2 linked regions of the Oryctolagus cuniculus genome follow. Each later gene encodes a partner of the first gene's protein in a complex. Links are inferred from orthologs where the notes say so. Each region holds a gene or a part of one and is shown in the gene's direction. Other genes may lie near its edges.

The links. The genes of interacting proteins can lie anywhere in the genome.
Region 2: VPS8 (region 1) and TGFBRAP1 share a complex: the UniProt entries of both Homo sapiens proteins name them as parts of the putative class C core vacuole/endosome tethering (CORVET) complex. The link is inferred for Oryctolagus cuniculus from reciprocal best matches to the Homo sapiens genes VPS8 and TGFBRAP1.

What each region holds. Positions count from the first base shown.
Region 1 is NC_091435.1:94,613,638-94,618,409, forward strand, and holds part of VPS8 (vacuolar protein sorting-associated protein 8 homolog), read left to right. Parts: intron 1-2,715; coding exon 2,716-2,881; intron 2,882-4,772. UniProt on the Homo sapiens protein: Plays a role in vesicle-mediated protein trafficking of the endocytic membrane transport pathway.
Region 2 is NC_091433.1:103,287,959-103,292,730, forward strand, and holds part of TGFBRAP1 (transforming growth factor-beta receptor-associated protein 1), read left to right. Parts: intron 1-2,403; 5' UTR 2,404-2,417; coding exon 2,418-3,105; intron 3,106-4,772. UniProt on the Homo sapiens protein: Plays a role in the TGF-beta/activin signaling pathway. It associates with inactive heteromeric TGF-beta and activin receptor complexes, mainly through the type II receptor, and is released upon activation of signaling.

The sequences.
Region 1 (4,772 bases):
AAGGTCAGAGTTATACACAGAGAGAGAAGGAAAGGCAGAGAGAGAGGGAAAGAGAGAGGTCTTCGATACGCTAGTTCATTCCCTAATTGGCTGTAACGGCTGGAGCTGCGCTGATCTGAAGCCAGGAGCCAGGAGCTTCTTCCAGGTCTCCCAACCTGGAAGGATTTGGGCCATCTTCTACTGCTTTTCCAGGCCATAGCAGAGAGCTGGATCAGAAGTGGAGCAGCCAGGACTCGAACCAGTACCCATATGAGATGCTGGCACTGCAGGTGGCAGCTTTACTCGCTACACCACAGCGCCAGCCCCCATGGTTCACTATTTAAGAGACATTTGGACAGAGACTAACAGGAAGTGGCTGTGCAGTCTGAGGGGCTAGGCCCAGGCGGAGCATCAGGACCAGGAGGCAGGAGCATCCCTGGCATCCTAAAGGAGTAATGAGTGAGTTGGCTAGTGACCCTAGCAGACGCAGGAGAAGGAAAGTGTTGAAAGAAGACTTCAGGCCGGCGCCGTGGCTCAACGGGCTAATCCTCCGCCTAGCGGCGCCAGCACACCGGGTTCTAGTCCCGGTCGGGGTGCCAGATTCTGTCCCGGTTGCCCCTCTTCCAGGCCAGCTCTCTGCTGTGGCCAGGGAGTGCAGTGGAGGATGGCCCAAGTGCTTGGGCCCTGCACCCCATGGGAGACCAGGAGGAAGCACCTGACTCCTGCCTTCAGATCAGCGCAGTGCGCCGGCCGCGGCAACCACTGGAGGGTGAACCAACGGCAAAGGAAGACCTTTCTTTCTCTCTGTCTCTCTCACTGTCCACTCTGCCTGTCAAAAAAGAAAGAAGACTTCAGAGGAGGAGCACAGGCCAAATTATGTAGGAGCTGGATTGGATCATTATAAAAAGTTTATCTTTTACTCAGAGATGAGAAGGCATTGGGTGATTCTGAGGTTAAGGATGGCATGATATGACTTGTATCTGAGGATCACTTTTTTTTTTAAAGTTTTATTTGTTTGTTTATTTGAAAGTCAGAGTTGGAGAGAGAAGCCTTCCATCTGCTGGTTCACTCCCCAAATGGCCACAATGGCGAGATTGGGTGAGGCCGAAGCCAGGAGCTTCTTCCAGATCTCCCACATGGGTGCAGGGGCCCAAGGACTTGGGCCATCTTCTACTGCTTTCCCAAGCACATGAGCAGGGAGCTGGATTGGAAGTGGGGCAACCAGGACTCAAACTGGCACCCATATGTCTGTACCCGCTACATCATGGTGCTGGCCCCTTAAGGATCACTCTTATGGCCATGTAGTGAAGGGATATAGGGGGTCACAGAGAAAGCAGAGCAGCTAGCTAGGCTGTGGCAGGAGCCATGTGAGAGGTGGCGTGGGGGACAGTAAAGAAGGGAGAAGCAGGAGTCTGGATATATTATAAAGGTGGAGCTGCTAGGATTTGATAATAGATTAGGTGTGGGGTATGAAAGAAAGAATGGTCAGTTTTAGTCTGAAACACCAGAAGGATATAATTGCCATTACTAAGTTGTAGAACTTTGAATGAGAACATGGGGTGGGGTGGAAGCCAGACCTCTAGGACTGGACATGTTATGTTTAAAACACCTGTTAGATACCTCAAGTAGAGAGATGGGGGTTCAGGAGAGGTCTGTGCTGAAGCGGTTAATGTGGTGATTAGGAGCAATGGGAGATAATTTAGAGCTATGGAGCTAGAAGTAATCTCTAAAGGAGCAAGGCCAGTTATAGAAAAGAGTATGGGAAAAAACAGGTTACATATGTGGGGGACAGAAAGAGGAGAGCAAGATTATAAAGACTATGGGACTAGAAAGAAAGAAGAATTAACTTCTGAGATAGTCCAACTTTCAGGTTGGAAAATGAAGGTGACTGAGAGTAATCTCAGCTCTCAATTTTTGGAAGCCTCATTTGTTAATTCTTTTTAAGAATTTACTGTATAGCAGTGACATTTTTGTAAGTGTTTAAGCCAATCATAACTGTTGCCTTGAATTTATGAGGCAGATCACTCATGTCATTATCAAGCTACTTACATAATTATGACTTTTCCCGATTGCCTTTTTTTCAAGCTATCTAAAAATACTGTCAAAATTTCATAGTTTGAGAAATGAACAGAAGTTCAACTCATCCTCCAGGTGGTTTGTAACTAGGGAACTGTGATTTTGTTCCTACTCACAAGTTAAATATACAAACATGTGAGTCGAGATTTTTTTTAAAGATTTATTTATTTGAAAGGCAAAGTTACAGAGAGAGAGGGAGAGATATGGAGAGACACAAAGAGGGAGAGAGAGATCTTCCATCCACTGGTTCATTCCCCAAGTGGCCATTAACAGCCAGGGCTGGGCTAGGCTGAAGCTGGAAGCTTTTTCCTGGACTCCCACACGGATGCAGGGACCCAAGTACGTGGGCCATCTTCTGCTGCTTTCCCAAGCACATTAGCAGGGAGCTGGATGGAAAGTGGAGCAGCCAGAACTTGCCCATATGGGATGCCAGCACTGCAGGCAGCAGCTTAACCCATGCAGGACAGTGGTGGCTCCTGAGTCTGGATTTTTATAAGGAGAGGACCACAAGAAGTACCTTTCCTTTCTTGTTTCCTACAACCCTCAGTGCACTGCAGCTTATTGGAAATCTTTATTGCTTGTAAATACTCTGTATAATAACTTAACATTTATGGTTTTTATTATAATGAAAAGTGAAAATTGATTGCCTTCATTTTGCAGCTGTGGCCATTTGTATCACTCATTCTGTCTACAAAACAAAGAATGCACCATAGAAGTTGAAGGCCAAACAAGATGGACATGTTACAAATGCAGCTCAAGTAACAAAGTAGGAAAACTAAGTGAAAATTCGTCTGAAGTTAAAAAGGGAAGGATAACCCCATCACAGGTAAGACTTTTGTTAATGGCAAGATGCAGGTGGTTGTTTCTTGCTAGTCTTTTAGGTGTGGTCTCATTTTCTTCAGGTCCTGTAGGCTCCAGCAAGTTTACCTGATGAGTACTGAGTGCATGACATCTTTTTAGTCTGTCTTAGTGTTTGAAAAGACTCTCCTCTCTGCCTAGCACTGAACAACATGGCTTTGAGGGCAACAGGAGATGTTTTCTGCCTTTGAGAAGCCTGAGATCCAGCTGAACGGAGAAGTTGTACACAAGTCTCCTTGTAAGAACATTTGGCTGGGGCCAGTGCTATGGCACAGCAGGTTAAGCCACAGCCTGCACCACCAGCATCCCATATGGGTGTCAGTTTGAGTCCACTGCTTCATTACCGGTCCAGCTCCTTGCTGGTGGGCCTGGGAGAGCAGCAGCAGACAGCTCTGGTTCTTAGGCTCCTGCACCCACTTGGGAGACCTGGAGAAAGCTCAGGGCTCTTGGCTTTGGCCTGGCCCAGCCACAGTTGCTGGGACCATTTAAGGAGTGAGCCAATGGTTGGGGGACTCTCTCCCTCTCCCCCTCTGTCTCTGTCTCTCCTTGTCTCACTCTGTGGCTCTGCTTTCAGATAAATAAATGTCTTTTTTTAAAAAAAGAATGTTTATCTAATGAGGAACTACCTGTACACTAAAGAGTACAGAATTAGCACTTTAATGTAGGGCTGATACAAGTGCATAAACATGTGCTTGTGCATGGTTTTCTCAGCCAGGTAACTGTCTTCAAAGTACGTAATGCAGTAGTGTTCATTTGAGTAGTTTTTATTGCTTTTGGAGTATAATAGACTAGATTAAAAAAAAAAGCCTTAGGGTTTTTGTTTGTTTGTTTGTTTGACAGGCAGAGTGGACAGTGAGAGAGAGAGACAGAGAGAAAGGTCTTCCTTTGCCGTTGGTTCATCCTCCAACGGCCGCCGCGGCCGGCGCACTGCAGCCGGCGCACCGTGCTGATCCGGAGGCAGGAGCCAGGTGCTTCTCCTGGTTTCCCATGGGGTACAGGGCCCAAGCACTTGGGCCATCCTCCACTGCCTTCCCGGGCCATAGCAGAGAGCTGGCCTGGAAGAGGGGCAACCGGGACAGAATCCGGTGCCCCGACCGGGACTAGAACCCGGTGTGCCAGCGCCGCAAGGTGGAGGATTAGCCTAGTGAGCCGTGGTGCCGGCCTGTTTGTTTTTTTTTTTTTTTTTTTTACAGATCACACTTATTTGACAGAGTGGATATGCTATTATTGTTTTTTAATGTTTACTATTATTTATTTTCATGTACTTGAAAGAGGAGAGAGAGTCTTCCATCTACAGATTCACTCCCTCAAATGCCTGTAACAACCAGGGCTAGGTCAGGGTGAAACCAAGAGCCCAGAACTCAATCTGGGTCTCCCACATGGGTGGCAGGGATCCAAGCACTGGACCCATTATCTGCTGTCTCCTAGGTGCAGTAGTAGGAATACTGGATCAGAAGCAGAGTAGCTGGAACTTGAACTGGATTCTGATATGGGATGCAAGTGTCACAAGCAATGGCTTAACCCAGTGTGCCACAATACCCACCCCCAACCTTGGTTTTTAAGCAGGCAGTAGAGCAGAGTTTGAACTCTACTGCTTGGTAGCTTTTGCAAGAGCAGAACTTGACAGCACAAGGTGTTCAGTGTAGAGAAGAAGTTCAGTGTGAAGAAGACAAGTCACAGCTGTGACTTAATCACTGTGCCATCCTCTAGGGTGCTCCTCCTCTGAAGTGGTTCCACACTTGCTGCTGCATGTCCTTCCTCTGTGGCACCGTGTGCTGTAGTCAGCCTTGGCGTCACATACTGAAAAGCTAGACTTGTCACTTTTCTTGGTTTGTTTCATCAGCTTTAAAGGAGAGCCA
Region 2 (4,772 bases), on another chromosome or scaffold:
TAAAGCTAGATCAGTTTGAGACACGCAGTAACGGGTGAATTATGCACCTTGGAGAAAGCTCCTCTAAGTCACACCATAGCAGGGCACGCTTAATGACAGTGCAGAGATGTGGCCGCAAGTTTATCCCTCCGTGTTTATCTCAGTACATTTGTCACGTGAACTGGATCATGGAGAGGATTTTCCCACTGCTTGAAAGAGTAAACCATTTTTAAACACCAGAGTGTCACTTAGCTTTCATTTAGTGATTCTGCTTTTTATAAATTATTGGGTGCTTTTTTCCCAAGATTTATTTATTTATTTGAAAGTCAGAGTTACAGAGAGGCAGAGGCAGAGAGAGAGAAAGAGAGAGAGAGAGGTCTTCCATCCGCTGGTTCACTCCCCAAATGGCCCCAACGGCCGGAGCTACACTGATCCGAAGCCAGGAGCCAGGAGCTTCTTCCAGGTCTCCCACGCGGGTGCAGGGGCCCAAGGACTTGGGTCATCTTCTGCTTTCCTAGGCCATAGCAGGGAGCTGGATTGGAGCAGCAGGGACTCGAACCAGTGCCCATATGGGATGCCAGCACTGCAGGCAGTGGCTTTACCTGCTACGTCACAGCACCAGCCCCCTAAAAATTATTGTTTAATTATTACAGCAGATCCTTTATTTAAAGGCCTCTACAAGGAAACTTAACCTTCAGCCAGCCAAGTAACTGTAGTTACAGTACTACATTGCTTTTCAAATATTACCGACTTACGGGTTTTTCACAAAGCACATGCTTTTCTCATGACTCCTCCTCCCCTGTCTCCCCCCATCTCACCATGTGGATTCTTTACCCAATATTCTTTGTTGCTGTTTAGTTTCTCTCTTGTGCTAAGCAAAGACAGTGGCTAGAATTTTGGTTGTGGAGGTCTGAAGCTTGTCTATTTCTACCATGAATTCATATTCCAAATGGGAGAATGGCTGTGTCCTGGCTTTTTCAAGGACTGCCATGACTGATTAAGCAATGAAGGATCAAGTTTTTTTTTTTTTTTTAAAGATTTGTTTGTTTATTTGAAAGGCAGAGTTACACACACACAGAGAGAGAAACAGAGCGAGAGGTCGTCCATCTGCTGGTTCACTCCTCAAATGGCCACAATGGCCAGAGCTGAGATGATCCAAAGCCAGGAGCTGGGAGCTTCTTCCAGATCTCCCACGCAGGTGCAGGGGCCCAAGCACTTGGGCCATTTTCCACTGCTTTCCCAGGCCATAAGCAGAGAGCTGGATGGAAAGTGGAGCAGCCAGGACACGAACTGGTACCCCTATGGGATGCTGGCCCCGCAGGCAGAGGCTTAGCCTGCTACGCCACAGTGCCGACCCCAAGTTGTTCTGACACCTATGAGAGGACAAGTGACGACGAGAGTCATTCCTCCCCTTTCTCCTGCCTGAATCTTTCTGGAGTGCCTCTGAGGTCCCCTAGCATTTGCCAGGCCGCCTCAGAGGATTAAGGAGTTGAGAGTCTCTCCGGAGGCAGCCTCATTCCCTCTGGGGCAGCTTGAAGTGCTGGAGAAAACTTTTCTGATGCAAACCCAGCCTGCTTCTCCCAGGCTTCCACCAGGCTTGGCAGCGTGGCCTAGAGCTCCCCAGGCCCCTGTGCCCCTGTGCGGGCTGTCAGGGGCTGCGCCTCTGAGCCTGCAACCCGACAAAGGCAGAAGGGCCACCCTGCTGCCTGTTCTGCTGTAGAACTGGGACCCCTTGCAAAGGAAGAAGCAGACAGCCAAGGGTCCAGCTTGTGGCACAGTGTCCCCCTTCTGCTGGAGGTCATCTGATTGCTACCAGGGACCTGCCCACAAAGCCGCTCACTTGCTACCTAAAGACACGGGAGACTGAGACACACCTGTATGACTTGACATGAGCGTGCTTACCTGGGGAGTGGAATACGGAGCTGGGGCCAGTGCGCATGCCTTCCTGGGAAGAACACAGAGGAATTCGAGGCCTCATCCTGCCTCTGTGTTTGCCAGCAGGATCCTGTGGCTGTGTCCCACCATTCGCTCAATGCAACTACAAGTAGCTGTACAAGTTCAAGGGGAAGATGGATGAGGCTCGAGCCTGCCTTTTCTGAGAGCTTTTTGTCAGGTTGCCTGGGGGTGCCTACATGTGCTTGTCCCCGGGGTGCATACATGTGCTTGTCCTGTACCCACAGGAGTGGCTCCAGGAGCAATGGGAGGCGGCTCTGCGTGAGTCTAGGCTGTGTTGGGAGTGAGCCTGCTGGCGCCAATCAGAAGCACCTGCGCACACGGGGGAGGTGGCAAGGAAAAATTTGCCTTCTGAATCGGTGCAGAATGATGTTTCATTGGCAATGGGGACTGGAGGAGCTGGGTGTCCTGATGCTTCTGCTTCCGCCTTCTCCCCGCTAACGTGAATTCTCCCCCCGTCTCTTCCTGCAGAGAGCCCGGCAGGCATGATGAGCATCAAGGCCTTCACCCTGGTGTCTGCCGTGCAGCGCGAGCTGCTGATGGGCGACAAGGAGCACATCCACATCGCGTGCGTCGAGTGCTGCGGCAAAAACCTGTACGTGGGCACCAACGACTGCCTCATTTACCACTTCCTGCTGGAGGAGAGGGCGCTGCCCGCCGGGCCGGCCACGTTCACCGCCACCAAGCAGCTGCACAGACACCTGGGCTTCAAGAAGCCCGTGAACGAGCTGCGGGCAGCCTCGGCCCTCAACAGGCTGCTGGTGCTGTGCGACAGCTGCATCACCCTGGTGCACATGCTGAGCCTGGAGCCCGTGCCCTCGGGGGCCCGCATCAAGGGGGCCGTGAGCTTCGCCCTGAACGAGAACCCCGTGAGCGGGGACCCGTTCTGCGTGGAAGTGTGCATCATCTCCGTGAAACGCCGAACCATCCAGGTGTTCCTGGTGTACGAGGACCGGGTGCAGATCGTCAAGGAGGTGTCGACCCCAGAGCAGCCCCTTGCCGTGGCTGTGGATGGCCACTTCCTGTGCCTGGCCCTCACCACGCAGTACATCATCCTGAACTACAGCACGGGGGCCTCCCAGGACCTGTTTCCCTACTGCAGCGAGGAGAAGCGGCCCATTGTCAAGAGGATAGGGACACAGGAGTTCCTGCTGGCGGGCCCGGGAGGGCTGGGTGAGGACATTGCCTTAGAGCCGCTGCCCCGCCCCCTCCCTCCTGGGTGGGGGGGTGGGGGGGTGTCCCAGGGGTGAGGCTTTAGCTGTGAAAAGGTGTCGCTCCCCCTCTTCGTGGAGGAACGACACAGGACCCTGCGCTGTTCTTTCGTCTGCTCGGCCCTCCCCGGGTTTGCTGCTGGTTCTTCCCGGGTTGGCTACTATCCCTTCCACCTCCGTGGAAGGGCAGTTCCCCCTGGCCGCATTCCCCACTTCCGCAGGGGAGCGGCACACCGCCGGCCGGCTTTCTCGGGGGCTGCACGGGTTCCCTTAGATGTTCCCCATAGATGTTCCCGGTGCATGCCGTCTCTCTCCTCCTTTATAGTCCTCCTCCGCCAATCCCAACTCGGCTGAGTACGCTGCTCTCCAATCAGGAGCAAGTCCTACAGTTAATTGGTTGAACTGGAGGCAGCTGTGCGGAAGCTGTTTACTTCTCTCCCAGCGCCATATTGTGGGAGAGCAGATGCATAGAATGAGTCTTAATTCGAGTAACAGTCTAGTCCGGTTTGCTCCCCACAGATCCCCCTTTCTTTTTATTTTTTAGCGTTGATACGCGCCTGTCTTCGGTGTCCCGCGGCACACACTCTGCTGTACTTGCTAGAGTTGCCACAGGCTCTTACAAGTCCTATCAATCAGGAAAACCGAATCCGGGTCCTCTCTTCGCCATTGTGAGGAGGTTTTTAGGCGCTGATGCGTGCCTGTGTTCGGTGCCCTGCAGCGCATGCTCTGGTCGAGCCTGCAGGGGCTTACAAGCTCTATCAGGCAAACCGAATCCAAGCCTTCTAATTGGCATGTTGAGGGGAGGCCTTATTTTTCTCTATTTCTCTATCTCCGGGCATTCCTACCTCTCCCATTTCACTTCTATCTTCCAGCATTCCCATTTCTCTTTTACTTCACTTCCAAACTTCTGTTTCTCTTATCCCTACGGCTTTCCGGCACCTCGCCCCGCCGGCGGGTTCCCGGCTCTGCGCCGCTTCAGCCCGCGCGCCTCTCTGCGCGGCTTCCCGGCTTTGCGCGGTCCGCGGTCTCCACGCTTAACCCTTTCGCGTCTGAACCACGGCCTACGCCAGCGTTCCCTATCTATTCACGCCCCGTGCTCTCTCTGCACGCGGCGGCTTCCGCGAGTAACACAGCGTAGCTTGCGTCTCCGCCACTAGGATTCAATCTAAGTTCCCCGGGCTAGCCTGGCGAATTCAACCCAGCGTACGTCTCCGCCCCACGATCTGGCTTCCCGTCCTTTGCTCCCCGGGCTAATCAGACGGATCCCAATCTGGCTTACGTCTCAGCTTCTGGTTTTAACTTTTCGCCCCCTATTCCCGGGCTAACTTGAGAATCCCAAAGTGGCTTTCGTTTCCGCCTTGGCCTGCCCCCCGCGGCTTCAATTTCCCTAACATTTTTCTCTACCCGGTATGTTTCCCTAAGTTTTCTTCCAACAATATTCCTCCCTCATTTCTCCTGGCCTCTCCCCACAGTCCGCGTCCGAGTCTGTTTGTTCTAGCTTTCACTTTCGCTTTCGACCTTAGAGATTTCTCCCAGCTTCCCCCCGTAGTCCGTATCCGAGTCTATGCCTAGGCTTTCAATAGCTTCTTCCGGCTCCTTTTTCGTCCGGCTTTTCCCTAGGCTATTTGC